4 linked regions of the Notamacropus eugenii genome follow. The protein of the gene in region 1 interacts with the protein of each later gene in a pairwise test. Links are inferred from orthologs where the notes say so. Each region holds a gene or a part of one and is shown in the gene's direction. Other genes may lie near its edges. The genes, in order: CRYAB, beta-crystallin B2, LBH and gamma-crystallin D-like.

Region 1 (7,627 bases):
CTTAGGAAAATACCTTGCACATGGTAGTTGCTTAATTAACACATGTTGAATTGAATTGAATGGTAGGCATGAGCAGGCTGGGAACACATTACAAATGAAGAACTGAGGAAAAGAAGGAGGGTAAAGGATGTCATCAGAGAAATGTGTGACCAGAAAAAAAAGATGGGCTGACCAATAACAAGAGCAAGGGATGACTGTTGGGTAGTCCTCATGATTGGTATCAGTGCCAAGTGATTTAGGGGAAGTCCCTCAATGCATTGTATGGAGCCCCTATAAAAATTTATAGGAGGGCAGGGACCTTGGCAAGGACCAAGAGTTGCATGGGTTGGGAGAGCATTGGAGGTGTACCCAGCACTGATGAGATCACAGAACCTCCAGCTACTGAAGAATCAATCAATTACATTAAGGTACCTACTATACTAACATTCTTATCAGTATTCACACTTTAACTGGAGACGATAAATTAGTTAACTAATTTCTAATGGAGAATTTTCAGCTGTCAATAACAGGCTGGTGGTAGAGATAATTTGGGGAAAGTTATTGGGTGTGTGTTGCCTATTCAAGGACTGAATGAAGGGTAACTAGGGACCCAGGTTTCCAGAGCTTCCTGTATACTTAATAATTTCCCTTTCCCAGAACTTGGGGCTTCCCTCAGCACTGCTTCCCCAAGAAAGCAATAACCAGCCTTTCTGGACACGTCAACCCTGAAATAGGAGTCTGGACACCACCACCCTCTTCTTCCTCCCAGTATATGTTTGATCCTTTCCTTAAGTGGTAGAAATGATGCTAGAAACTGATGGAGCAGCTTGATTCCTACTATGGGATATTTCATGAATTAGAGTAAAATACTTTCTCTTTGGCCTGAAAGAGAGGGTAGGAGTCCATGTAAAGGTATTAATTAGATTCTATTAATTAGATTCCTCTGAAAGATTTTAGAACTCTGACACAATGTCCAACTGTGGTTCCAAAGGACCAATGATGAAGAGTGCTATTTATCTCCTGATAGAGAGGTGTTGCACTAAAAATGAAGACTGAGCCATACATTTTTGGACATGGCAAATACAGAAACTTGCTTTGCTTAGCCATGCATATTTGTTACAAAGCTGGGGAGGTGGCAGGGAGAAAAATGATTATTGAAAAAAATTTAAACTTTTGAAAATGGGTTAGGGGCAAAATACCCCAGATTTTAGTCTCAACTCTGTCTCTATCTACTAGCATGTCCTGGAGTAAGCCACTTTCCTTTATAGGCCTCAGTTTCCTCATGTGTAAAATGAAGCTGTTGATCTATATGACCTTTAAGCTCTTATCCATCTCCAAATTTAATATCTTAAGTCTCTGGGTCTCAGTTTCGTCATCTATAAAATGAAGAATTGGGCCAGATGATCTATCTATAAAAACCCCTCTAGCATCATGATATATGACTGCTATGGACACTTTGAGGCACAAGGGTGATTGTGGAGGAAGATTCCTTGCTTAATGCTTTTTCATTCATTCATTCATTTGTTCATCCACTCCTTCATTCCAGTATTCATGCTCCCTGGGTTTATTCAGTCCCTTGAAAGGGAGAACTCTGTCTAGTTGATAGAAGTAGATATCCAGGAACTGAAGGACATTGCTCTAGGCAACACTGCTTAGACAAAAACATGTTCTTTTCTTTCCCCCAGACCCCTCCCAAGTTCTGCCTTGAAAAGTCCAGACTGTCTGGAGACCCTTGTCTTTGTACCTCTAATCACCAGCCCAGACAATGCCCTCTGGCTTGTTTGGATGGCATAGCCCTCGTCCCCTACCAGGATCACTCTGGCTTTTGTTGTATTGTGAGAAAATCAGAGCTAGGAATCTGATTAGGAGTCAGTGCCAATGCCCTGCTGTTATCACAGCTTCCAGCTGCGAGCTTAGTCTGGAGTTGAGCTCAGCATATCCAAATTATGAGCGCTCTGTCCAGCCAGAAGTTCTGCAGTCTTTGTGTCTAGAACTTCTTTCCTTACTCTTAAGTCTTATTCTCCAGGCTATAGAACAGGAACAAATGCAAACAGGGCCCTGGGATTTGGATTTATTCATCTCTACCCACAGCTGAATGACAAACACATGTTCCAAGGGACTAAACTAGATAGACATTCCATTCTGGATCACTATTATCCACCCCCCACCACCCTCGGCCATGGCCCCTTCCCATCCACTTTCCCCTTCCCCTTTTCCTTCCTTTCCCCTATGAGATATAACTGTCTCTAGGCTGGTGGGCAGCTGCTTCCTTCACCATATAGCAATAGCCCTTCCTATAAGATAGAAAGGGACTTGCTTGGTGCCAGGTTTGGGATAATCAGAGTCCCATGAAGTCTCCCTCCCCTTCTTCCTCCTGGTCAGGAGGCCTAGGTAACAGAGAAATATGGACCTCATTGACCTCTGTGTCCCATTGTCTTCCTCCCCGTGGAGCCTCCAGATGAAGAATGCCATCATGGGAGAGTGCCGCCTTGATTCTCCAGGGATCGACATCAGCAGGCAGGACATAGGTACGGCAGAACTCACGAGACACAAAACCATGTCGATCCAGGCGCTGAGGATGCCGGGCAGACACCTCCAGCAGGTTGTCCACGGTCCTCACTATCACCTCATCCGGGGTAAAATGACTCACATCCAGGAAGGCCTGGAACTTGCCTTCACTAAGACGGAGCTCCGAGGCCCCTGCTCCACTGCTCTCCCCAGCTGGAGCTGCCCGTGGTCGGACATAATAGCCATGGTACAGGGTAGGAGTCAGGATCTCCTCTGGGAGTAGGCCTAAGGGGTAGATAGAAAGAAAAGATGAGGTAGGGAATAGGGATGTGATGAAGGAAAAAAGTATAAAAGGAGAATGGAAAAAGAAGAGAAAGCGTGCATGGGCAGGGCAGGAGGGAAGACCAAAAACAAAGTGTCAAAGACAGGGAAAGGTATACGGGGAGAAGAGACCACAAATTTGGAGCTGGAAAGGATTTATAGAGGCCGACTCCAAACCCCTCATTTTTTCAGACAGGAAATTGAGGCCCAGAGAGTAATGTCTAAAGTTACAACTTCAGCCACCTCTTCATTTTTTCAGACAAGGAAACTGAGGCACACAACAGGTAACTGGACCACAAGTCACATAGGTAGCAAGTGATAGGGTCAGATCTGCCTCTTCACTTCAGTGACTGGACAGAGGGAGAAGGGAAGATACAAAAATTATAATAAACAGGATGGGGGATTGGAGACAAGGGAGAGAAGAAAAGTTGAAGCCAAGAGGTGGAAAGAGAGATCCACTGTCCAGCAGGATCCCCCAGGGTCAGATGACTGTAGTAGGGGATCAGTAGGGAATGAGGCAATAACTCATGGGAAAAGTCAGTCTTAGATGAGAGATGACCAGTCTCGGGAGGTCAATTTAGTTCGAGTTGGTGGGGGGTGGGGAGTGATGGTTAGTGCGGGCTAGGAGATGAACCCCCCAAATAAATGGAGGTGGGGGAGAGGGGCGTCAATCCTGTACCTTCCCCAAATCGTTGTTCGCCCAAGCGGCTCGGATTAGCGAACTCGTACTCGGTGGTGGCCGGGTGGGCGTGTGGCACTGAGCGACCCGACATGGCCTCAGATGGACCTTCAGCCACGGATCAACCCCTGCGGACACAGCGGGCCCCTCCTGCCAGGATGAATAGCCAGGACTCTGGAAAGGACCCCGGGAAGGCTGGGGCTGGGGCGGGGTCGGCGCTGCCCAAAAATAGTTCAGAGCCTTGGGGGGAGAGGGGGAAGGCGAGCTTTGTGGATCCTGCCTTCCCTCCCCCTCCAGGTCCTTCTCGGATCCGGTTGCTCAGCTGTTCAGCTGCTCAGCTGGGTTGAGTGAACTGGATTCGGGTCCAAGGAGGGCAGGAGACTCATTCTTACTGGAGTCTTCCCAAACCCTGTACGCTCCCCAGATGACAGCACCCTAAATTCTTTTGCGTCTTCCTAAATCTAACCTGCTAGTCATCGGAGAGCTAGGTATCCAGTATTATCAGTTCAAACCTGTCCAACCTCATTTTACAGATGAGGAAACTGAGACCCAAAGAAGTGAAGGGATTTTTTTTTTTTTTTTGCCCAAGGTCACAGCGCTAATAAGTGTATGAGGCAGGCTTCCAATTCAGGTTTTTCTCACTACAAAGCCAAGGTACCATCTGCTATACCAGACGGCCTCTCAAGGAGACAAGACTGAGGTGTTATGGTGGTCTCATTCCTTTTCAAAACGTGGGTTCTAATCCCTGCTCTGCCATCCCTTTTATCTAAAATTCTGAAAAAAAAATTTTTTTTAATAAAAATAAAATTCTGTAATTTTATAAGCATGCTTCCCCCCACAACCACCCCCTACCCTATTTCCTTTCTCAGCTCACTGAAAAGACAAAAGTCCTTTCTGTCTAGAATGATGTCAAGGACTTCCCCTCATTCCTCCCTTCTACCTAGGGCAACGCACAAATGTCTAGACAATGACATAGCTTGACCACTGGTCTTCTTTCTCCAAGGAGTCACAAAGTCACAAAGAGTTAATGTCCTTGGGACCCAGCCCAGGCAGATTCCTTCCCTGCCAGTCTCTGCCTGGGCCCAAGATAGTTGCTGGCCTGATCCCCCTGGCATGTGAGACTATAGTGGTAGGGGGAGGGGCAAGCTGCTTGGGATTCCTGGCTCTGCCTTACCAAGAGGGGAGGGAGAACCATAGTGCTGAAGCTCAGCGGGTGGAGGGGTGGAACAAGGGGCGGGGAGAGCACCCATATTTGGAGACCAGGACTAGTCACTTGCCAGCTCAGATATGTTTGTGTTTCTCTTTTCTTAGCTTGGTGAGTACTGGGTGTGTGTCACAGCCAAATCCCCGATCACCAGTCCTCCATGAACTGGGATAATAAAACTCCTGACATCACCATTCCAGAAACTTCACGGGTGCTGGGTATATAAGAGGCTAACTGGAGCCTGGGCTGAAGGAGCTGCCCAGCCAGCCATACCCCACAAACTTCCTCTAGCCACCATGGACATCGCCATCCACCATCCTTGGATCCGACGCCCCTTTTTCCCTTTCCACTCACCCAGCCGAATCTTTGACCAGTTCTTTGGAGAGCATCTGCTGGAGTCTGACCTCTTCCCTACCTCCACTGCCCTGAGTCCTTTCTACTTTCGACCCTCTTTCCTTCGAACACCTAGCTGGCTTGAGACTGGACTCTCAGAGGTAAGTCTTCCCTCTGTCAGGCAATGGGCAGGTTTTTGGGGCATCAGTTTCTTGGTGCATTCCCTCTCTTTGAGCTCCTAGCTTCAGCTTTCCCAACAGAATATCTCATACCCATCTATAGCACAGATGTCTAAAGCATCTGTGCCTGGTAGTGTAGAAAGATGAGGTCACTACCAGTTTCTCAGCAAGTCTGGTCCAATTTATTTTAGACTCTCTGTGAAGGACAAAGTCGAAACATCTTATTAATAAAATCCCTTAGGACCCACTGAGGTCATCTCATGTGCCCCCAGGTTCAGGGCAGTCCCTAATCTAAGATAGGGGCTACTTTGTTGCTTTAAAGTATCCAGAAAGAAATAGCTCTGGCATTCCTTGGTCCCCTGTTCTGGTTCCTTACAATCCTTTTCTGACAATTTTTTGTTGATTTTATTTTAGTTGTATATGCTTTCTTCCAAGATTTGAGGCCACTGACCTTACTCTTAGCTTCCCTGTGTAAGACCATAAAAAGCAACTTGTTTCCCTCCTGCCTGTCAGCCTCCGAGCAGCGATTGTTGGGTTTCTTTGGGTTAGGAGGGAGTATTAGTGTAGGCTTAAATGTAAGGAAGGGGTAAGATCATTTTTTTAGTTCTTAGCTCAAATTCTGGACTCAGACTGTCCAAGACTCAGGCTCTCTACTCTGGTTTGGAAGAAGAGAGGTGAATAGACTAGGTTGACAGATAAGAGCTGTGCAACAAACAACACCTTCATTTAAAAATATTGAAGTATGAGTAAACAGGAGTCTGGTGAGTGAGTGGGCAAGGGCATTGAAAGGGCAAGCTGGGTGGTTCTAGATTAAGTGGGTGGGAAACTTGGCAGTCCCAAGGAGCAGGCAGAATTGGTCTTTGTTTTTACAGATAAATATCCAGGGGCTTGGAGGTTTTGCATTTGGCAAACTGAGAGGGGTGGGGTAGGTTGTGAACATGAGAATTATAGCCTGGCCCATCTTTTGTTTAGTGTAGACATGCTGTGGACATTCTGGCTCACACTTGGGGCATCTTTGAGAATGTCTTGGCTTCTCCCCAGGCCTATAAGCTCAGTTAAGGGTTGGTGGCCAAGGATCCCATGAGCCAGAGTTATAATTTTGTTATTTTAAGGAAAGGTATTTTCCCAGGGGGTGGGGCAAAAGGTGGGGGAGGGAAGGGAAGGAGAAAGAAAGACTTCTGGATGGAAGAGGTTTGCAGATGTGTTTTATCTCTTGGCTTATCAATACCACCTACAGGAGTGAGAGAGAGAGAGAGAAAGAGAGAGAGAGAGAGAATATCTTAACTTCCTAGGCTTCCCCTCTTCTGAACTTTCTCTGACATCTCTAGATGCGACTGGAGAAGGACAAGTTCTCAGTAAACCTGGATGTGAAGCATTTCTCTCCAGAGGAGCTCAAAGTCAAAGTGCTGGGCGATGTGATCGAGGTTCATGGAAAGCATGAAGAGCGTCAGGTATCTGACCTGTTCCTTATTGGCAGCCTTATCCTACTCCCTTACTTTGAATAGTCACTCTTCTGCTGTGTCAGGAGGAAGGAGGAACTGCTTTTGGGGGGGAGGGGGGAGGGGAGAAAGAAGAGAAGGATTCCTGAAACTCTTACAGCTGGGAGAAACCCAGTTTAGATATCCCAGTTAGAAACCATGAGATTGTCAAGGTATTCAAAGAACTCATCATTCCACTTGGAATCCATTCCTTCTCTAAACCTCTGGTTCTAAGTTTCGGAGCTGTATTTAACTCCCTGAATCCTAAGACCACATGAAAATCAGAAAGAGAGACCACTTCTTAAAGAAGTTTTGAAGGGTCAGAGAATATGAGGGAGAGGTGAGCCCAAAGCCTTGTCCTTTGGATCCTAAAGCCGGGTGCAGTCGTTCCTTATATAAAAATAGACATCAATTCCTGGGGAAGGTTTTGATGCACCTTTTCTTCTATTGCCTGGTAACATCCCAAACTGTAGGAATTGTGGCAAACTGTATTCAACCTACCCCAACAGAGTCCATTTCGGCCCAAATGTTTTGGGTTGGAATCAGGGGTGTGCTGGTGGCAACCAGCTTTCCAAAAAAAAAAAAATGTATGCAAGGTGCACTTTTAAATTTAATCTGCATTAGTAATATTTTTTTTCTATCACTTTCTTAAGTCCAGACAAGCAAAAAGAAAAATCAAGCCCTTATTTGGAGATGTAAAGATTTGCAGTGAAAATTTTACAGTTGGCTCTTAGGAGCTGGTTCAAGCTGACTCCAGCATACCCCTGGGTTGGAATGATACAAGATCAGACTAAAGATATAGAGATGGTTCTCCTTGCTCTCTGTTATTTCCAGTGCCAAGCAGACCAGAGAGTTGTAGATTTTGTCTGTCGTTCAACACACCAAGGTTAGCTGTGGAAATCCTAAATTCAAATAGGCTGTTGTGTGTGATGATCTAAATCACTGA
Region 2 (7,388 bases), on another chromosome or scaffold:
GCCACTGCGATCCTTTCAGATTGATTCAACACTTGTTCGCATCTAGTTTAAATTTCCTAAATGGATTCAGTTCATTAATTTCAATCCATCCAATATCTGGGCTTTCTGTGATTAAATGGGGTAGGGGCTGTTCCCCACCCTTAGACTCTGGTCTTATAATAGTTTGCCCAAGAGACCAAAGGAAACGGAGGAAGGCTTCCAAAGTGTTGGGGAGGGTGGATCCTAAATAGAAAACTTGTGGGAAAATACGGGTTAAAATTGAACCATATAAGACAGTTTATGATCGCTAAATGTCAGCTCCTTCAAATTCTCAAAGGCCCCTTTAGCTCTCCCAGTCTCTGGATCTTTCCCTGAATCCCAGATATCTCCATGCAGTCCTTCCAGTTCTTCCAGAAGTCTGAAGTTTTTCTTTTATTTTGTTTTTCTGCTTTCTGGGGACCAAGCTCTCCTTGGCTACCTGGAGGAAGAGTGGGTCACCAGTAATTTCCCCAGATGCTGGTTCTGGCTTCATTACCTTCTTGTACTAGATGTCCCAATCTTTAGAGAAACTGGATTCTTTGAACTCCTCCTGAACCCAGCTTCCTGTGACTTCCCCTATGACCTGAATGCAGGTGTAAGCACATCAAATGAAACAGTGTGTATAAGTCATGTTGTAGCCACTAGGTGGCACAGCAGATAGAAGGTTTGAATGGGAACTGGGTAGATCTTAGTAGACAATCTTTGTCTCTGACTTAGTAGCTATGGGCAAATCACCTAACCTTTCTCACCCTCAGCTTCCTCATCTGTAAAATGGAGATAATCTACCTCTCATCCACCTGCCAGGATCCTTGGGAGGATAACATGAAATATATTTGCAAAGCACTTTGTGATTTCTGTTGTAAAATCACTTCAGTCTTGTCTGTGACCCTATTGGGGGTTTTCTTGACAGAGATACTGGATTGGTTCACCATTTCCTTCTCCAGCTCATTTTACAGATGAGGAAACTGAGGCACACAAGATGAAGTGACTTCCCCAGGGTCACACAGCTAGTGTCTGAGGCTGGATTTGAACTCAGTCCTTCCTGATTCTCAGTCCAGAGCTCTAACCACTGAACCATCTAGCTGTCCTATCATCATTATTATTATATCACAAACCTTAAAGAGTCATAGGAATGTCCACTGTTAGTATCATTGTTTTGACATTCAAGGCTGCTCATACTTACCTAGCTTCCAAGGAGCTTTCCCATCTCATCCTACCCCTCATTCATATTCCAGTCAAGCTAGACTGGCCTGGTCTTATCTTGACTCCTACTCTCTCTGTGACTTACCCAGTTCTTTTGGATGGAATGGATACCACCACCTCCCATCTCTTCTTGCTCACTGGCTGTTCTCCACGAAGCTGTTCCCGAGCCTTCTTTCCTTTCCATTTGGAAACATTCTGCCCTTTAAACAATTTCTGCTGCCTCCTTGCCCTGAGCTGCTCTTTTTGCACACTGTCACTGGGCATTCTATTCTAATTATTGTGGATTTGTCCCTTTCAACAACTGAATTCTAAGGTCCTTGAACACAGGGCCTTTGTTGCATCCACTGTCCTACAGAGCATCAGTCTTAGAGTCTGGAAGACCAAGGTCAAAATCTGCCTCTGATGCTGGCTAGCTGTGTGACCTTGGACAAGTTTCTTCCCAGCTCTGGACCTCAGTTTCCTCATCTACAAAGGAAGGTACTGGACTTGGCCTAGAGGACCCAACTCCAAGCCTATGGTCCTATCCACTGGACCAGGAGCATGCTGGGAGCTAGGGCCGTCTTCTTTTCTGAACTTTTCTCTGTCCCTCGCCTAGACCAACTTCCCTTGTTAATCTTGTCCCTGATTTACTCTGTCCAAATTGTATCTCTCAGAGACATCTTATTTCCTCTGTTACTTAATATAGTAATGATAATATTCCAACATTCAGGGCAGCATAGGTTGCTCAATACATAGAGTGTGCTTTATTCTTTTATTTTGAACTTGGAAACTGGAAGACCTAAGATCAAATCCTGCCTGCATGATATACTGTGTGACTCTGAAGAAACCCCTTCCCCTTCCCCCTCTCAGGCTCAGTTTACTCATCTGTAAAATGGGGGTGACAATAGCCCCTTCCTCCCAGGGTTGTTGTGAAGATCAAATGAGATCCTACTTGTAAAGAGCTCAGCACAGTGCCTGGCACATAGTAGGCACTTCATAAATGTTTATTTCCTTTCTTCCTCCTTTTCTAGAGCATTTACACTGCTTCCCATGCATGTATTGGTCTCTGGCCATTGCTCTTCTGAGACCTTGGCGTTCACAACTAGAAAGCATCTGGGGGATACCCCAGATTGGAATGTGTTCTCTGGCAGTCTTGGCACCCCAATTCAGCTACATGAGATCTAAAACCTAGCTTTTGTGGTCTGGCCTTGAAACTGCCCACCATGGGTATTAAGTTCCGTGTTACAAAGAAACTTGCATCCCATGACCCATAGAACTTAAAGCACGGGACCTGGATTCAGTAAGATCTGGGTTTGAATCCACCTATTTGCTGTGTGATGCTAGGCAAGTCACTCAATCTCTCTGCACCTCAGTTTCTCCATCTGTAAAATGGAGTTACACTAAGTGATCTCTTAGGCCCTTTCCCGTTATACATCTATGGTCCTTTGAGCCAGGTCTCACCCTCATCCTCACTTTCCTCGCTTTGCCCTGGCCCCCACAAGCTTGGAGAGTTTATTTCTCTGCCATGGCTAGGGATACTCTATTACCCCCATTCAAGGTTTCTTTCACCTCGATGCCCCTCTCCATTCTTTTCCTGAAATAATGCTGATGGAGTGAGATGGAGGGGGTTGGGAGGGAAGAGCGATCCCCACTGCTATACACTGTCCAGCTAGAAACGGTGGACAGGAGGAATCCCGTATACCGGCACCTGGGCCCCTTCTATTCAAGTGAAGTCAGTTGGAGGGAATTTAGTAGACAGAGCTGCTGGCGCAGCAGGGCAGAATGTGCTGGTCTGGTCATAAAGCTGCCATAAATAGGGACCAGGGGGAGATCCAGCCCCAGTCCTGCTGATCCATTTTCCCTCTAAGAGGTAACAGAGGCTAGGGAGGGAGGGAGGAGGGGTGGTGCACATCTCTTTTTGGGGGGGTGGGTGGGATTGATTTAAGGGAATGAGGATCAATCACTACTCAGGCTTTCGGGTTCATTTTGGGTGTTATTGCTGGATGGAAGGACCTGGGAAGGCCATCGGTCCCTTGTCCAAGGCCACAGCATGGAAACCTGATTTGTATTGGGGCGAGGAGGGTAGTAACATTGGTCTCCAACCGTGAGATCTTGGCAGGGATTGTCTTCTTTGGAGAGGCCTCATTTGCCTTGAGGCTGGGGCAGCCCCTTCTGGTTTGGGGAGGGGGGACAGTGACCCAATTTCTGTGGTTATTTAAGGCTGAAGCAGTTTGTGACCCCACTTTGCCACTGGGAAAGTCTGGGAAAGTGGAACATTTCATTCTGGGGCCCTGAATTCCAGCTGGGAGCTGGGCCAGTCCCAGAGACCGATGAATGGGGAGATTGACTTTCACCACAAAGTCCAGTTTTCTCTTGGGTTTTGACCATCACGAGTAACCCAGTCCTCAGACATCCCATAATTGTGTCTGGGAGAGTGGCCATATGTACTACCATGTGCATGACTATGTCCAAGTGTGGGTGGGTCACAGCAAGTGTGTGTGTGTCTGCTTGCTTCTCTGTATGGCCACCTGTGTGGATCACTGCCTTCAGGTATGACTGGGTGTGAAGCGTTTTCCACAGACTGAAAATCTTTCACAGAATGTGATTTTGAGAGAGTTTCGCCCAAATCCCAGTCAATTGGATCCTTCCCTTGCTTCAGAATGACCTAGCTAAGACTCTCAGTTGGCAACTTTTTTTTTTTTTGGCATCTAGACATCTTTGTGATAAGATGATGGAGCAGCAAAGTGTCCCAGAGCAGGCGGCTGCTGGGAAAAGCCATGGAGGTTTAGGGGGACCCTTCAAGGTACGGTGTGGGGCTCATGGGGGGATGGACATCCTTGGGCTTAGATGGACCCTAGGGCTCTGGGCTCCCTCTCCTCAACAAGGCTGTATTCAGAGCTTACAGCCACTGGGAGGGAGAGACAATCACCCAGGCCACAGATATGTAGCCAGATGGGGTGAAAACTCGGGGTATGTCCCTGATCCAACTGGAGCTTTAATTTTTATATTCTCTCTTTTAATGCTCCTCCCGACTCTGACATATTCTGTTCTAAGGGTACTCCCAGCTCTAATATTCTATGATTTTAATCAAGTAAGCCAGAGTCTGGCACAAGGGGGCAGATCACAGGTTCCATTGAGGGGCCATGTCCTAGGGCTGTTCCCTAAGATATCTTGTCCAGGGCAGCTCAGGCAGTTGGGCCCATTGGTGGCACAAAGCCCAGAGTGCCAGGCTGAGTCAGATTTGCTTGGCCAGCAGAGGGAAGTATAGGCCTTCTCCTCCAGATACCTGCCTGATTGCTTCAGGATTTGCCTAGTGTTTCTGAGAAGCAAAGATCTAGTCAGGGTTGGGGAGAGCCCAAGCTTGGAAAAAGCCAAAGAGGGACAAGGGCCTTGTTCGGAGGATCTCACAGGCACCCTGCCTATTCTAGGTCTCAGTCTATGAGCTGGAGAACTTTCAGGGAAAGAAGTATGACTTCTCCACTGAGTGCCCCAACCTGACTGAAAGTCTGCTAGAGAAGGTGGGCTCCATCCAGGTGGAATCTGGCCCGTAAGTGCTGCATGTACAAAGTGGGGGGTGGGGAGGTCGAGGTTTTCTGGGTCCAGCGTACAAAGAGCCCAAGTGACCAGACAAAGGAGACCATATACCATCTGACCTGAGGTCAAGCACTGCACTGAAAGTCTGAGGGAAGCTTGGAATCCTGGCTCTGGGCACAGCTAGCCTTGTGATGGGGAGCACGCATTCGCACTTCTCTGGACCTGTTTTGTCACCTGTGAAATGGGGAGACTGTACTAGATGATTCCTGCTAGCTCTGGTGCTCTTGTGCTCTAAGGGTCCTCTCAGCTCTGACATTCTGTGTTCCAATATCCAGCCCTGCTCTGACTTTCTCTGTTTTAAGGCCCCTCCCAATCCTAACATTCTGTGTTCTTTCTAATAATCTGTCATCCAAGGACCCTTTTTGTTCTAAACCTGCCTCTGCTTCAGTTTCTCCATCTGTAAATGAGGGATCACTGGGATCTAGGGATCTCTTCTGGTTGCCATCATCTACCTCTGTGGGATTTTGAAGTTTTGGGGTGTGGATGGAGCCAGCTTTGTGAGAACTTGGCCAAAGTCTCAGATGACGTCCCTCCATCTGTCCTGGTTGGATAGCTGTCTTTTCATGGGGTCTTGCCCAGTCTGTACCCTCTCTCTCCCTGGCGTCATGCTGCCCAACCAGCTTCTTGGCCTCCTCCAGCTGAGATCAGGCTGGGTTTTCTTATTCCAGATGGTTGGCATTTGAACGCAGCGCCTTCCGAGGAGAACAGTTTGTCCTAGAAAAGGGAGATTATCCCAGGTGGGATGCCTGGTCCAACAGTCATACCAGTGACAGTCTCCTCTCCCTTAGACCCCTGCAAATTGTGAGTATGGGCTTCCTCTTCCCAACAGGGGTGCGGGGGGGGGGGCCTCTCCACATGGGAAATTTCAGAAAGGGCAGGAAAGGTGGTGAGCCTGGCAGGACCGAACTCTGACAAGGCTACAGTCCATAGGGACTTAATCATGTTCAAAGGAATCCCTCTCTCCAGGACACTTAGAGGCCCAGCTTAAGAGATGGACAAACCCTAGCTATGGTCTAGAAAGATTGCCAGTCTTGGGTGGTCATTTTCTGACTTCCTCCTTCTATCAATTAGATTTTCAGCTCAATGCAAGAAACATTCATTTTTGTTTACTTTTTTAAGAAGGAGCAGACAGGGTTTTAACTCCTAATTTATTTTGAAATAATTTTTTAAAAGATCTTTTCCTTTGTTTTTTGGATTTTTTTGAGGCAATTGGGGCAAAAAGTGACTTGCCCATGGTCACACAGCTAGTCAATGCCTGAGGCTAAATTTGAACTCACTTCTGACTCCTGGGCTGATACTCTAGCCACGTTGCCGCCTACCTGCCCATAAGCTAAGATTTCTCCATGAGTCTCTTTTCCTTCCCATTTCCAAAAAGACATCCTTTATAAGAGAAATAATCATTTCTTAAAAAAAGAGTGAGACAATAAAGAGAGCAACAAAATTGATCAATATATATATATATAAATCTGATAACATATGTAATATTCCACACCCAAGTACCCCCACCTCTTGAAAAGAGTGAGTGAAAGTATTTTCTCATATGTCCTCTTTGAGGACAAAGTTTCATCAAGCATCTCCTTGTCCTCAGTCCAGGGGTACAAAGATGGACAAAGGACCCAAGAAGCATGGGGCCTGTTAGGAAGGGGTTGTGACAAAACTCTAATATGAGATAGATGGTGAGAAGGATAAAGGTGAAATCTTCCAAGGAATTTGAGAAGGGGCGATGGAGATGGGGATGGAAGGGGGGGGGGCTTTCTGGAAGAAAGGGGGAGAGGAGAATATTGCAGTCTGACTAGGGCACAGAGTATATAGAGCAAAATAGAATGAGATAATGGGGACCTGGATTGGGGAGGTCTTGACTCAATTAGTCTGTAAGCACTTATTAAGTACATACTGTGTGCCAGGTACTAGGGACTCAAAGAAGGGCAAAGCTCACAGTCCCCTCCCATAAGGGACCCACACTCTAATAAATTAGACAATATGGAAGCATTTATGGGCCAACAAGATATATACAGGGTAAGTGGAGGGTGGGCTTAGAAGGAAAGGTAGGGGCAGTGAGTGGTAGCAGGATGAAGACTGCAGGATTTGAGTTGAGTCTTGAAAGAAACCAGGGAAGCCAGGAGGGCAAAGGAAGGAGGGAGAACATTGTGGACATGGGGGACAGATCAATGCAAAGATAAAGAGCCCAAAGGTGGAATGTGTGTGTGCTAGGTTGTGAAGTGGATAGCATGCAAGGCCTGGAGTCAAAAAGACCTGGGTTCAAATCTAGCCTCAGATACTTACCAACTGTGTTCCCCTGGGCAAGTCATTTAACCTGTTTGCTTTGATTTCCTCATCTGTAAAACGGGGATAATAAAAACCACCTCCCTGGCAGGGTTGTTGAAATAGTAGTTGTAAAATGCGTAGCATAGTATCTGGCACATAGAGTAGGCACTATACAGATGTTAGTTATTAATATGATTATTATGAAGTAGATCAGTGTAGCTTGAATGAGGAGTTTACATTTTTCAGGAGTCACTGAAAGTTTTTGAGGATAGGAGTGACACAGTCCTAAAGATGCATTAAGAAGATGACTTGGGTAGCAGTGTGGACAA
Region 3 (6,986 bases), on another chromosome or scaffold:
GTAGCTGTGTGACCCTGGGCAAGTCATTTAACCCTGTTTACCTCAGTTTCCTCATCCGAAAAATGAAGCTGAAGAAGGAAACAGCAAACCACTTCAGTATCTTTGCCAAGAAAACCCCAAATGTGGTCAAGAAGGGTTGGGTATGGCAGAAAACAACTGAATAACACACATGAACTCTTTATTTCCTGTCTCTGTGCACTGGCTGTGGGGTCATGAAGAGCCAGGCACAACTGAACAACAAAAAAATTTTAAGTGCTTTTTAAATTATAAAACTTTATAGTGATGTTGATTGACTGAAGTCTAAAAAGTCAGGAGTTTGCATGTAACTTCTGCCACTTAGTCCTTGGATAACTTGGAGGTAAGTAACCTTACTAATTGAAGGTGTCATTCCCTCATTTGTTGAAAAAGTAACCTCTGGCAAACTATAAGTCAGCAGGACTGAACACTGTGGTAGGTGACAGAAAGATGAGAGACCTAATAAGATGGACAAATAATGAGAAATATTTTCAAGTCTTCACATAATACCTAGGCAAGGAGACATCTGCAAGGCTATAAAATTGCTATAAAATTCCCTAAAAGCTTGCTCTTCTCCCAGCTTTTTTATATCTGCTAATGTCATCCCCACCCATCATTACTAGGCATCTAGGACTGAAATCTTAGTCTATCTTTTAGTTCTTACTTTTCCCAAACGTGTTATTTCTTCCTTCACAATATTACTTAAAACCCTTCCATTCTCACCACTCACAGAATCACCATCCTAGCTTGTTATCTTGTTTGAATAATTGCAATAGCTAACTAACTTGATAGCAATAAGCCTCCATTCTGTCCCTTCTTTTATTCATTCCTCCCCTGGTTGCCTACATAATATAATGCCCAGGGCTGGCCATGTCACTCATCTACTCAAGAAGCTTCAATGACTACCTATTCCCTATATAGGATAAAATATAAACAGCTTCCTTGATCTAGCTTATTATTATTCTAGCCTTAATTCATTTTCATGCCCTCTATCTCTCTGTTCCAGCTAAACTGAACTACTAACTATTGCTAGATCTCATAAAGCATCTCCAATCTCTTTAAATTTGTTAAAGTCAGACCACAGGGCACTTGTTGAATTCCTCTACTTGTAAGGTACAGTTCACAAGTTGCCTCCTCCATGAAGCCTTCACACTATTCTAGGTTTGAAAGCGTTCTATTCTTCTTCAAACTCTCTTACAGCTCTTTGTATTTCTCCTTCGAATTTGCCATGAGTTATCTTGTAATATTATTGGTGTACATTTACATCTTCCCTATTAGAATATAAGTTCCTTGAAGGCAAAGACTGTTTTGTTTAGCATTGGCATATTCTCAGTAATTAGCACAGTTCCTAGCACAAAGTCAAGTGCCCAATAAATGTTTATTGAATTGAATCTCTAAGACGGAATATATTTAACAATTAGGTTGCATCACCAGGAAAGTCCCATCAGATCCCTACATTTTTCTCCTGGAAACTGTGCATCAGCTGGGGAGCAGGGAAAAATTCAGGACTTGATGGCCTTACCCTTGGAACACCAGTGGCCATACAAATCCCTGAACATACTCCTCTTCTTACTGCTCAATTGGGGACATTGATCTAATTTTTCTCTAGAGTTCTGAAAGTTTCCAAAAGGCAGATGACGTAGAAAAAGTGAAGTGTGGCTTTTGTAATGCAAAGTGGTGGAACATTCTTTTCCTCTAGGAAGTTTTCAGTGATTGGCTGTGAATCTGTGAGTTATATATATCTGGGGAGAAAAGGAGAAAGAAACTGGTTAGTGCCAGGCCCTCCTCAACTTCAGTCTTCATAATCTTCTCTCTGCCTTTAAACACTCCATTATCCCCCACCAGGGGTATGGTAAATATCACAGATCACAGACTTCACTGTAGTTTGCATTCTTATTTAGTTAAATAGATTACAACATCCCTCACCCCATTCAGCATCTTTGGACAGTTACCCCACCACCTCTGAAAAAAAAGTCCAAACAATTTCCCTTTGTTTCCTGTTACCTCGACACACTATGAGTATCATGTTAGTAACCTGTCCACAGAAACGTTGCCCCTTACCAAGCTACTATTTCTATAGTAAAGTCTCATAGGAGAGTTTTTCCCTCCCTCTCCCTTACCCACTGGTTGCCGGAGGTTAAGTGGAAGAACTAGAAGTAAAGAGAGATAGAGGGTGGTCTTTTCATTACTATTTAATACAAAGAAGTAAAGAAGATTCTGTGCACAGATTCCTGGCATATACTACACATTCCTCAGCCTTCCTTTTACCCAGTTTGCCTAAGGTATGCATACGATTGTGTTTTATGTACACTCACTGCCTTTCATAGAGCTCAGGCTGACTTGAAAACAGGTGTGTCTTTCCCTTTCATTCTATTGCTTTTGCCCCCACCTTTGCGGGATAGACGTGTTAATCTCTTCATTTTTTTTTTTCAGGAGCAACAACTCAGATTTAGATAAAGAAAGCAAAGGAGCATCCTTCTCAAGTCATCTCAACCCAGGCTGGCTCCCAGACTGGCCGCTGGGTGAGGGGTTGGGGGAGGGGAGTTCGGGCGTTCACAGGGACAGTGGTCAAACTAACAAGACCGGCGTGGCTATTCCAAGGCCCCTAAGGGAGGAGAGAGATTAAGAGGAATTGTCAGTTCTTTGTTTCTCTGGTCTAAAACCAGACTTCCTCCGAGCTTGGTCTGGGAGCTGGGGCTGTGGGGTGGTGTGTCCTCTCCCTGTCTGCCTCTTTCCCTTTCTCCCCCACCCGTTGCCGCGGAGTGTATGTATGTATATGTGTCGTGGAAAAAGCCCAGGATGAGACTACATTCTCTCTGGCACACACACATGTATGCATACATATATGCATGTATGTTGTGTGTGCGTAGACATTTATTTATGCACAAGTATACGCACATAGGTATTCATGCAGGCATGAATGTGCATGGATATCTAGTCCAACACATTTGAGTGAGAGGGACCCTCCGCGAACAGCAGAGACTGAAACCGATCCTTCAGAAATCACACAACTTCGGGTCGCCGTTCTACAGATTGTTTCTACTGGGCTCGGGGCTCATAGCCAGGGTCGCTCGCCTGAAATAGAACAGAACAGCTCTGGGCTTGGGAGGCTGGCGGGCTGGGGAAGGGGCGGGTTCGGAGGGACTCGGGTCCAGAGGAGGCTTCCAAAGAGGGCTACCCTCCAGGACTGCCTGGACTCTGTCTAGTGCCCAAACCTTGGGCGCGGGATGTAGGTGGGCAGCAATAGGCTAGGCAAAGGCGTGGATGCAGATGCCAGCTATCGGGGCCAGGGCAGGGTGGGGGGTGGGGGTAGCTTCAATGAATGGATGCGGAGTTGGGGGTGGGAGGGCTCTGCTTTTAAAGCACGGCTCATTTGCATTGAAATGCATGTCCATATGCACTAAAGGACTAGGATTCCACTCACGTACAGTCTTCGCACTCCCCCCCCTTTCCCATTCCACCCCATCTCTCCTTCCTACGTTCAGAGATCTCTCACCCCCTCTCTAGGAACCCAAAGGGGACAGCTTACTTTGGATGGGGGAAGGAATGGAGCGGATTGGATTTGTGATAGGGAGACATACAGCCGCAGAATCAGCCAGCGACATGCAGGGAGGAGGGGGGTCAATGTGTGCGTGACAGTGTGTGTGTGTGTGTGTGTGTGTGTGTGTGTGTGTGTGTGTGTGTGTGTGTGTGTGTGTGTGTGTGTGTGTGTGTGAGTGCGTGCGCGGGAAGGGGTGGGGGGGGAGCAGGGAGGGAAGGGGGGAGCTGCAGCAAACCAGGGCCCTTCTGAGGAGCTGAGCGGAGCCGCAGGCACTAGCTCGCAGCTACAAAACCATTCATGATTTTGGTGACGTTATTCCAGTTGTGGGGGGGAGGGAAGGCGGGGCCTCTGGGGCCCAAGACCCGCCCCCCCCCGCTCCTATAAATAGGGCTTCCCAGGCTCTTTGTGGGGCTGAGAGCTCTTTGGGAAGGGGATCGGCACGTCTGCTTGCTAGCCTTTCCTCCGGGTGGTGGTTGAGAGCGGTGGGACCCTGTGTGCCTGATATCTTGCCCTCCGGACGGGGTGTCCCGGGACGGTTAAAACCTTCGTTGCCCCTAAAAGCTCGAGAAAACTGCTGGGCACTGGGCCACTGCAGTGCCCTCTTTCTACTGGCCCGGGGACCGTTTTTTAAATATCCAAGGGTGTGGGTCAGCCTCCCTTAGGACTTCATGTCTGTATATTTCCCCATACACTGGTGAGTATTCATTCTTTACCCTTGGTGTCTGTCGTACGATGGGGTCTAAGCCAGAGGCTCTTGTCATCTCCTCCCAGAGTCGGTCCCTTTGGGGTACAGTGACTACTGAGTGCTGTGCCTTAATGAGGAGGGGCAGTTCTCCTTTCCTGGCGATCATTCAGCTAAATGCCGAAGTCGCACCTAAGGGAGACGTGTGTGTTTGTCGGGGGTTTTGGAGGACTTAAGCGCCCTGGAACCTATTGAGAGAAACCAGACAAAGACAGTGAACTTGGAGGCTTCGCATAAGTGCATGATGGCTGGGGGTACTGATGGGGGAGAGGGTGTAACAAACGTGACCAATAACCTCCCCACTCAGTTCTGTGCTCCAAACGCCCCCTCCTCAAATGAGGATTGATTTTAGAATCTCGTGAGTGTTGCTTGATTTGGGGAACGGAGACAGTCTTTCCCCGTCTTCCTCTCTTATTTTCTCCGCTGCCCTTCTCCCTCTCATTCTCCGCCCACCCACCCCTCTCCAACCCCGCGTTTTTCCTGTGGTTTGCATGCAAGTCTTGATGTAGAGTGCTGGAGATGGGTGGGCTTCAGAGGGTGCTGTGATGGCTACTGTGGTTCTGGGTGTTGGATGAGAAGAGAGCCCCCTATGGACGGGCTGGAGGGGAATGGGGTGGTGGTGGTGATAGTGGGGATAGTGGTGGTACAATATGTGTGTGCGCGCTCGAGTGTGCGCGTGTGTGCGCGCCTTCTCCCCGCACACCCTGCGAGGAACGCTGCATTCTTTTGACCCCATCGCTTTGCTTTCCCCTCCTTTCAAAGAGAAGTGCCTTTGAAAACCACTCGACTTGACTAGGAAGGGGGGAAAGCAGCTGATCAAGTCCCAGCAGCAAGAAAGGGGAGCGGGGAAAACACAAACCAGCACCCTGGGATGGATTCAAGGGTTGGGGAGGTGCGGGGGGACGTGGACTGAGGAGAGAGGCTGCACTGATGAGGGCGGGTTTGGAGGTCCTTAGGGACTGTACCGATGGGGGTGTGTTGAGATCTCTAGGGCGGTGATGCTGGATTGTTGGGAGTCTATTGAGATGCCCAGGGGCAGGGGGCTGGACTAATGGGGGTGGATGTGTGAAGATCCCTGAAGGTCTGGGGCTTTAGCAGTGGAGGGACTGTGCAGATTGCGAGGTGCGGAGGAGGAGCTGTGTGGTTTGCCGAGCCAGGCCTCAGAGTCGACCTCCTGCAGGGGCTCCGAGCTTGCTTCCTTCCTGCTGGATTCGAGCAAACATTTAGCATCTCCCCCGGGTTGGGGAGGGGGTGCCAAGGAGAGTGAGCTTGATGCCTGCAAAACCTGTTCCCACGTGTGAGAAACAGAAGCTTCTAGAGGAACCCTGGGCCCCAACCCAGTGTTTGTTTCCTGGCAAGGCGGACTTGCGTGTACCGAGCCAGAAGGGTGAAGGTAGCCGCTTGCAGCTAGCCTGAAGCTGCTAAGCTGAGATGGAGCTGGAAAGTTTGCAGCTTTTTCCTCTCCACTTTTCACAGCTGTAGCCCCAGACCTCAGCGATAAGCAGGGAAAGGCCCCAACCACTGGGCTGCAAATCTGAGGCAGCTCCAGGTCTTTCTCTCCACCACCACCACCACCCACCCCCTTCCACCCCCAGTGTTGAGAATCAGTTTACTGGGAGGGGTCCCAGGGAAGGACCTTGGACTTGGGGCAAGCAAGGGATCTGGATAGCTGAATGCTACCCCTCCCTGGGTCCCCAGTCCGACTCTCTATAGAGAGATGAACTTGATGCCCCTGGAGAAGTCAGTGTCCCTTTAAGCGGGGCGTGGCTGCTGGACTCAGGATGAGAATAACTGATGGGTTCCTCATGCCCCCATCCCCTACTTCTCATCTCAAGCTTACCCAACTGCCTTCACTGACTTCGACTAATGAGAATCCAAGTAGGCTATCAAGTCAGTGTTGACTAATCTATCTCGTTTTCAGTGGAGAGAAGCATTAATTTCTGGAAAAAATATGCCCACACCTTAGTATTTATGGCAAGGAGACAGCTTTTGTTTCCTTTCAAGCTCTGCCTCCCATGTATTTAGTGTTATTTTTTGTGTGCATGTGTGAGATAGTGAAGATGAGTGAAGGTGCTGAGGTATGTATGGAAGGCATACTCCCTATGAAATATGGGAATGGACATTGACTCCCAGAGTCCTATGCCCTTGACTACCCTGTGTGTTCAAAGTTCACACTTGGGGTATGGAAATGCTTCTTTGGCTGCTTTGTCCTTTTGAAAATGCCTGGTGCAGGCAGAGCCAGGCAGTCATTAAGGCTGTGAATGTACTTGGTGCCTTACTGGTACTGAGCTGGCCAGGGCTGTATTTGAGGTTAGAAAAGGAGGCATTGACCAATGTGAAGTTTGGAATGGTACCGACCCATCCAGGGTGTAGATAGGACATGCTTCAATTTAGAGGCACCGGGAACTATGAAGAAATTCTGAAAGCCTTCATATCTGAAACTTGTCTCTACACATGTGGGAGAAAGGGATAGACATCACTCCGATGAGTCTTTTTATAAAATGACAGTTTTGTACTTTTGTCATCATCCTCATCATTGTTAATAACAATAAAAGCATTGCAAGGAAGCAAGTTAGTTGAGATAGTTTAGAGAGAGATGAAATAACTCCTGGTGCCTTCCATTCCTAAGATGTAATGAAACCAGACAGGGAACATGGATATAGATGGCCCAGTGGGGGGAAGGGGGAA
Region 4 (6,205 bases), on another chromosome or scaffold:
TACCAATGGTCTGCCTACTGGAGGTCCTATAGTCATCCCAAAGCAGAATTCATCTTTCCCCCAAAGCTCATCCATTTTCTGAGTTTTCCTATTAGAGTTGAGAATATCACCATTCTCCCAGTCACCCACCCACTCTCATTCACACCATATATCTACTCAATTACCAATCTCTCTTCCCAACGATATTCTTATACATCCCTTCCAACTCACATAGTTACCATCCTACTTTAGGCTATAATCCCCTCTGGTCTGGACTAATGACCTCCTAAATGCTCTCCTTGCCTCAAATCTCTTCCTACTCCAATCCGTCTTCCACACAACTGTCAAAGAAATTTTCCTAAAGTACAGGTCCATTCATGTCACCTCACTCACTGCTCAATAACCTCCAGGAGTTCCTATTGTCGGATGGATCAGATATAATCTCTTTTATTTGGTGTTTAAAACTATTCATGACCTAATCCTATCTTATCTCTCCAATTTTGTTTTTTGTTTTTAATGCATTGCTTTCCTCCTTATATTCTTCAATCTAGTCATATTGGCTTACTCACTGCTTCATATACATAGTTCATTGTCTCCTATCTCCATGCCTTTGGATTCGTTATTCCCATGCCTAGTGCACACTCTCTTTTCATTTGACCTCCCTTCTTATTATAATCGCCTTTTATTCATCTTATATGTTATGTATTTATTTTGATGTACATGTTATCACCCCAGTTAGAATGGTTGTTATTAACTGACTTTGATTTTATTATGGTCCTTCTTTTACAGATGAGGATACTGAGGCAGAGACAAGTGAGTTGCCAGCAAATCACACAGCTATTACCTGTCCATGGTCAAATTAGAACTCAGATCTTCCTGACCCAAGGTCCAATGCTCAATGCTATGACACCTAGAGGCTGAGGTGATCTGCCCAGGATCACAGAGATAGCAATGAATGTCAGACTCAGAATTTGAAGAGACATTTTCTTATTCCAAGTTCAATGTTGTTTTCACTGTAACTGGCAGTTGGTGTCTGTAATGGCAAGTAAAATAGGATCTTTTACTGTTTTTGTTTTAGTATAATCAAGAAGCATAATGCCTCTATTTGTTCCAAGATCCATGGCCATTTAGATTGTAAGGCCAAGGATCCTGGAAGGTGACCGGCCTAATGCCATGGGCTGCCCGGGTCCTCTTACCTATATCAGGTCTTCGGTGGCCAGCCAGATAAACATATGAGAGAAGAGACCTCCAGAGTCAAACAGAGGTGTAGGCTTTATTCCGGATACAAGCTACATGTCAGCATGCAGGGTGAGTGCTCCCCATGGGAGCCCCCCATGGGAGCCCCCTTCTCCCTCCCGAGGAGCAAGGAAGAACCCAACCCCCTCTCAGGCTTTCCTGTCCTCATTTAAGCTCTCCCCCTGCTAGTTCACTCATGGACACCGTGCTCTCAGCCCCTTAGCCAATTAACAAAAGGTGTGCTCAGACCACGGACCAATCTCAAGGGTGTGATGCTCTCCCCAGCAAGTTTCCACTGAGAAGAGATGCAAAACGAGATAACTCGTATCTCACTCCTCAATTCCCAGCTGTTCTCTGGGGGGCCTCGTGAGAGTTCGGCGGTTTCAAGAAGCCCTCACCTTTACCTGCCCAAGACCATTCTTACCTTAACAGGAAGGGTGGATTGTAAGGGAAAGCAAAGGAGGATCTTTTGTTGTTTTATTTTGGTATAATCAAGAAGTATAATACCTTTGATTGAATAATGTGATTAAGGAGGAACTATCCCACCCATTGATGGGCCTAGCAAGATTTGTAGGAAGGTCCACACCTTTAGTTAATGAAGCACTGGTTCTCAAGGAATATGATCCCCTCTGGCTCCAAAAAGTGTATAAAGACTCTAAGGTACAGTTTTACTTTGGGGCTTAGTTTTTGGAAGAAGGTTTGTGCGCTAGATAAGACTCTGGGAAAGCAACTAAGCAGCCCCTCAGCTTTGAAAACTCAAGTGTTACTTCCCTCCCTGGTAACTATGGTCAGACAGTTGGATCTATCTGTTGATTTGTAATATGTGTTTTGATTATGGTCAGACATAGGAAATGCTGTCTGTTGATTTAGATTTCTCTGTATTTTGATAGATAGATAGATAGATAGATAGATAGATAGATAGATAGATAGATAGATAGACAGATAGATATAGAGAGAATATATATTCTCTATATATAAATATATAGGAAACTGAGTCAAATTTACAAAAATAAAAGTCATTCCTCAACTGATAAATGGTCAAAGGATATGAACAGGGAGTTTTCAGATGAAGAAATTAAAGCTATCTATAATCATATGAAAAAATGCTCTAAATCACTATTAATTAGAGAGATGTAAATCAAAATAACTCTGAGGTACCATATCATACCTATCAGATTGACTAATATGACAACACAGGAAAGAAGATAAATGTTGGAGAAGATGTGGGAGAGTTGGAACACTAATTCATTCATTGTTGGTGGAGCTGTGAACTAATCCAATGATTCTGGAGAGTAATTTGGAGCCCAAAGGGCTACAAAAATCTGCATACCCTTTGACCCAGCAATATAGCTTCTAGAACTATATCCCAAAGAGATCATGAAAATGGGAAAGGGTTCTGTATATACAAAAATATTTATAGCAGCTCCCCAGACCAAGAACTGGAAATTGAGGGGATGCCCATCAGCTGGGGAATGGCTGGACAAGTTGTGGTGTATGAATGTAATGGAATACTATTTTTCTATAAGAAATGATGAACAGGAAGACTTTAGAGAGGCCTGGAAGGACTTATATGAACTGATGCTGAGTGAAAAGAGCAGAACCAGGAGAACACTGTACACAGCAACAACCACAGTGTGTGAGGAATTTTTCTGGTAGACTTAGCCCTTCACAGCAATGCAAGGACGTAAAACATTCCCAAAGGACTCTTGAGGCAAAATGCCATCCACATACAGAGAAAGAACTATGAAACTGGAGCACAGAATGAAGCAGAATATTTTTCTCTTATATTATATTTTATTTCGTTTTGTTTTTTCTCATGGTTTCTCCCATTCATTTTAATTCTTTGCAACACGACTAATGTGAAAATGTAATAAGAATGTATTGTAGAACCCATATAAGATTGCATGCCATGTCGGGGAGGGGATGAGGAGGAAAGGGGAGAAAATCTAAGACTCATGGAAGTGGTTGTAGAAAACTGAAAACAAATAAATTAATAATTTAAAGAAAAATAGATCTCTCTGTATTTTCTCTGAAGTCCAGTGTGCTGATTTTTCCCCTGAACTAACTGAATGATACATGTGCTTGTCTTTCCTTTAAGAGAAGCAGATCAAAGAACCTGTGATAGCAGGTCTCCCATGTATGTTGGGGTGCTTACTGTTACAGTATCTAGCTGTAATCAGTTGGCAGCTGCCATCCTCTGAAGTATGGGCAGCCTCTCTGAGAATCTCTATGATATTTTCACATAAACTTAACACAAAGTTTGTTTCACTTGTGATCTAATATAATAATAATAAAAACTAGCATTTATATAGAACAGAACACTTTATAAATGTTATGTCATTCAATCCTCACAGCAAACCTGGAAAATAGGGTCTCTTCTTATCCTTATTTTACAGATGCGGAAAACAAGGCAGAAATAGGCTAAGTGACTTGCCCTGGGTTATGCAGTTAGGAGCCAGGATTTTAAAGATTTTTGTGATTCCTAGTCCAACACTCAACCCACATCCACTTTCCTGAGAAAACTTCCAGAAGACACATTGCTTATATTGTGTCTAAACATAGAGGAAAAGCAAGAAATGAGAATCGACTATCATATGGGGCAGAACTGTGCACTTCAGAACAAAGAAGGACCCAAACACAGTCAGTTAACAATGAACTGTCTTTGTCCCAATGGTTATATTCCTCCCCCAATAGCAAGTATAGGACAGTACTAGAATGCACCAGAGAGAAAGCAGAGCATAGCACACTCTTCACTAACGACAGAATCAAAAAGCAAACCACAAAATCCCCTTACGCACCAAACTGGGCCCCTTTTTTGTTCTTGCCAATGCAGCAGCAGAAATGCTCTATATATACGAGCGGCTGTTGCCGCTCCCCCGAGGACACTGCATCCATCACCAACCAGACATGGGAAAGGTGAGTAAAGTATTGCCAGGGGCAGGGGAAGGGTGCCACAATTTAAGGGGCAGGATGAGAGGAAACAAGAGCCATGAATTCTTCTCCCTCTGCAGATCACCTTCTACGAGGACAGAGGCTTCCAGGGCCGCTGCTATGAGTGTAGTAGCGACTACCCCAACCTGCAGGCCTACTTCAGCCGCTGCAACTCCATCCGGGTGGATAGTGGCTGCTGGATGATTTACGAGCATCCTAATTACTCAGGACATCAGTATTACCTGACAAGGGGAGAATATCCTGACTACCAGCAATGGATGGGCTTTAATGACACTATTCGGTCCTGTTGTCTGATACCTCAAGTGAGTTCTGCCTCCGTGAGCTAAAAATTAGGGGGCCAGAAAGTTTTTCTCAAAGAAAAAAAAGAAAAGAAGAGAAAAGTCTAGCGAGTTTCAAACTGTGACCCAAATACAGATAAACACAGCAGAAATGCCCAAGAAGACGCTGAGAAATGCACTCTAGGAAAGAACTTATGACTATAGAAAATAATCAGTTGCTTTTATTATATCTACTAGCATTATTTGGTGGTTCTGAAATAATTTCAAAAGTCCATTTTTAGAAATTGTTCAGAAATGAAAAGCAAAAACAGCCATCAAGTAATATATAGGCTAACTGTGGCCCTATGATGCGGCTAACTGTGGCCCTATGATGCAGACATTCAGAAAGTAAGAAGTAGACAAATTCTTCTACAGATCATTTGGAAGTAGGGGGAAGAGGAAGGGAATAAGCATTTATATAGTGCCTACTATGTGCCTCATGCAAATATTATCTCATTTCATCTTCACAACTACCCTAAGAGATAGGTGCTCTTATTGTCTCCATTTTACAGATGAGGAAACTGAGGCAAAGAAGGGTTAAGGGTTAAGATGCCCAGAATCTCACATCTAGTAAATATCTGAGGTCATATGTGAATTCAGATCTTCCTGACTCCAGGTCAGGAGTAAAAAATATTAGCAATAGCAATTCCTGGAAGAATATATTCTTATCTTCTTCTTTGTTATAATGTGGTCCCTGTTAAGCTTCTTTATCCTATACAATAAATAGAAGAAAGTCATAAGAAGATATATTTAATGATTTAGCCTCTATAAAAAACAGATCAAAAGAATATCAGAAATACACCAAGTAATTTCAGAATTTCTATTTATTTCATCTATTCATCCAATGAAAATATATTAACATGCTAAACTATCAATGAGCTGAATTCTGAAAATGGCTCAATTTGTTGGGGTTTTTTTTCCTTCTGTTTGTTGCCCAAGCAGACTGGCTCCCACAGGATAAGACTGTATGAGAGAGAAGAATGCAAAGGTTTAATGTCAGAGCTCACCGATGACTGCCCTTGTATCTATGACCGTTTCCGACTGAATGAAGTCCACTCCTTCAACGTGCTAGAAGGCTGCTGGGTCCTCTATGAGCTGCCCAACTACAGAGGAAGGCAGTTCCTGCTGAGACCTGGAGAGTACAGGAGATACCTGGACTGGGGAGCCATGAACACCAAGGCAGGCTCTTTAAAGCGGGTTATAGATTTATACTGAAATCTGCTTATGCTACCATCTTCTCATTTTGGAACCTAATAAAGTATTTAGTTTGTATTATTGGCATGTAATGTCTCCAGTGTTTATTTTATATTACATATGAATAAATACAGTTGTAAATGCTTTAGTACTGAAAGGCTTTGAGATGAATGGGGGTAACTTGCCTTCTGGAGAATTCATCAAGGAAAGTTTTAAGGAGAAGGTAAATCTTGGGCAAAATTTAGAAGGATGGGAAGGGAAAAGACATACCTGGACCTTGGGGCAAAAGCAGGAGGCTGAAATGACCAAACCTTGAGTATGAGATAAAAAGTAGGTTTGTCCTGTTAAAACAAAACATATGATTGCGCTCTCTCTCGCTCTCCCTCTCCACATAGATATACATATATATATACATACATATATATATACACACACGTGTATATATATATATATATATATGTATATATATATATATATATATATATATATATATGATGCTGATAGTTAAATGAGAAACAAATGGCTAA

What was found.
Region 2: the proteins of CRYAB (region 1) and beta-crystallin B2 interact in a two-hybrid assay, tested with the Homo sapiens proteins (2 studies listed by BioGRID and IntAct). The link is inferred for Notamacropus eugenii from reciprocal best matches to the Homo sapiens genes CRYAB and CRYBB2.
Region 3: the proteins of CRYAB (region 1) and LBH interact in a two-hybrid assay, tested with the Homo sapiens proteins (2 studies listed by BioGRID, with this or other methods). The link is inferred for Notamacropus eugenii from reciprocal best matches to the Homo sapiens genes CRYAB and LBH.
Region 4: the proteins of CRYAB (region 1) and gamma-crystallin D-like interact in binary tests that used the Homo sapiens proteins (3 or more experiments, as listed by UniProt). The link is inferred for Notamacropus eugenii from reciprocal best matches to the Homo sapiens genes CRYAB and CRYGC.

The regions. Positions count from the first base shown.
Region 1 is NC_092876.1:142,265,851-142,273,477, forward strand, and holds the start of CRYAB (alpha-crystallin B chain), read left to right. Parts: upstream 1-4,609; 5' UTR 4,610-4,987; coding exon 4,988-5,185; intron 5,186-6,531; coding exon 6,532-6,654; intron 6,655-7,627. Other genes in the region: HSPB2 (heat shock protein beta-2), read right to left, coding at 2,318-2,772, 3,488-3,581. UniProt on the Homo sapiens protein: May contribute to the transparency and refractive index of the lens. Has chaperone-like activity, preventing aggregation of various proteins under a wide range of stress conditions.
Region 2 is NC_092875.1:21,054,021-21,061,408, reverse strand, and holds the start of beta-crystallin B2, read left to right. Parts: upstream 1-4,375; 5' UTR 4,376-4,747; intron 4,748-5,462; 5' UTR 5,463-5,536; coding exon 5,537-5,595; intron 5,596-7,388. UniProt on the Homo sapiens protein: Crystallins are the dominant structural components of the vertebrate eye lens.
Region 3 is NC_092872.1:532,390,142-532,397,127, forward strand, and holds the start of LBH (protein LBH), read left to right. Parts: upstream 1-3,962; 5' UTR 3,963-4,224; coding exon 4,225-4,250; intron 4,251-6,986. UniProt on the Homo sapiens protein: Transcriptional activator which may act in mitogen-activated protein kinase signaling pathway.
Region 4 is NC_092877.1:305,337,028-305,343,232, reverse strand, and holds gamma-crystallin D-like, read left to right. Parts: upstream 1-4,042; 5' UTR 4,043-4,056; coding exon 4,057-4,131; intron 4,132-4,226; coding exon 4,227-4,469; intron 4,470-5,423; coding exon of another isoform or gene 5,424-5,426; coding exon 5,427-5,699; downstream 5,700-6,205. UniProt on the Homo sapiens protein: Crystallins are the dominant structural components of the vertebrate eye lens.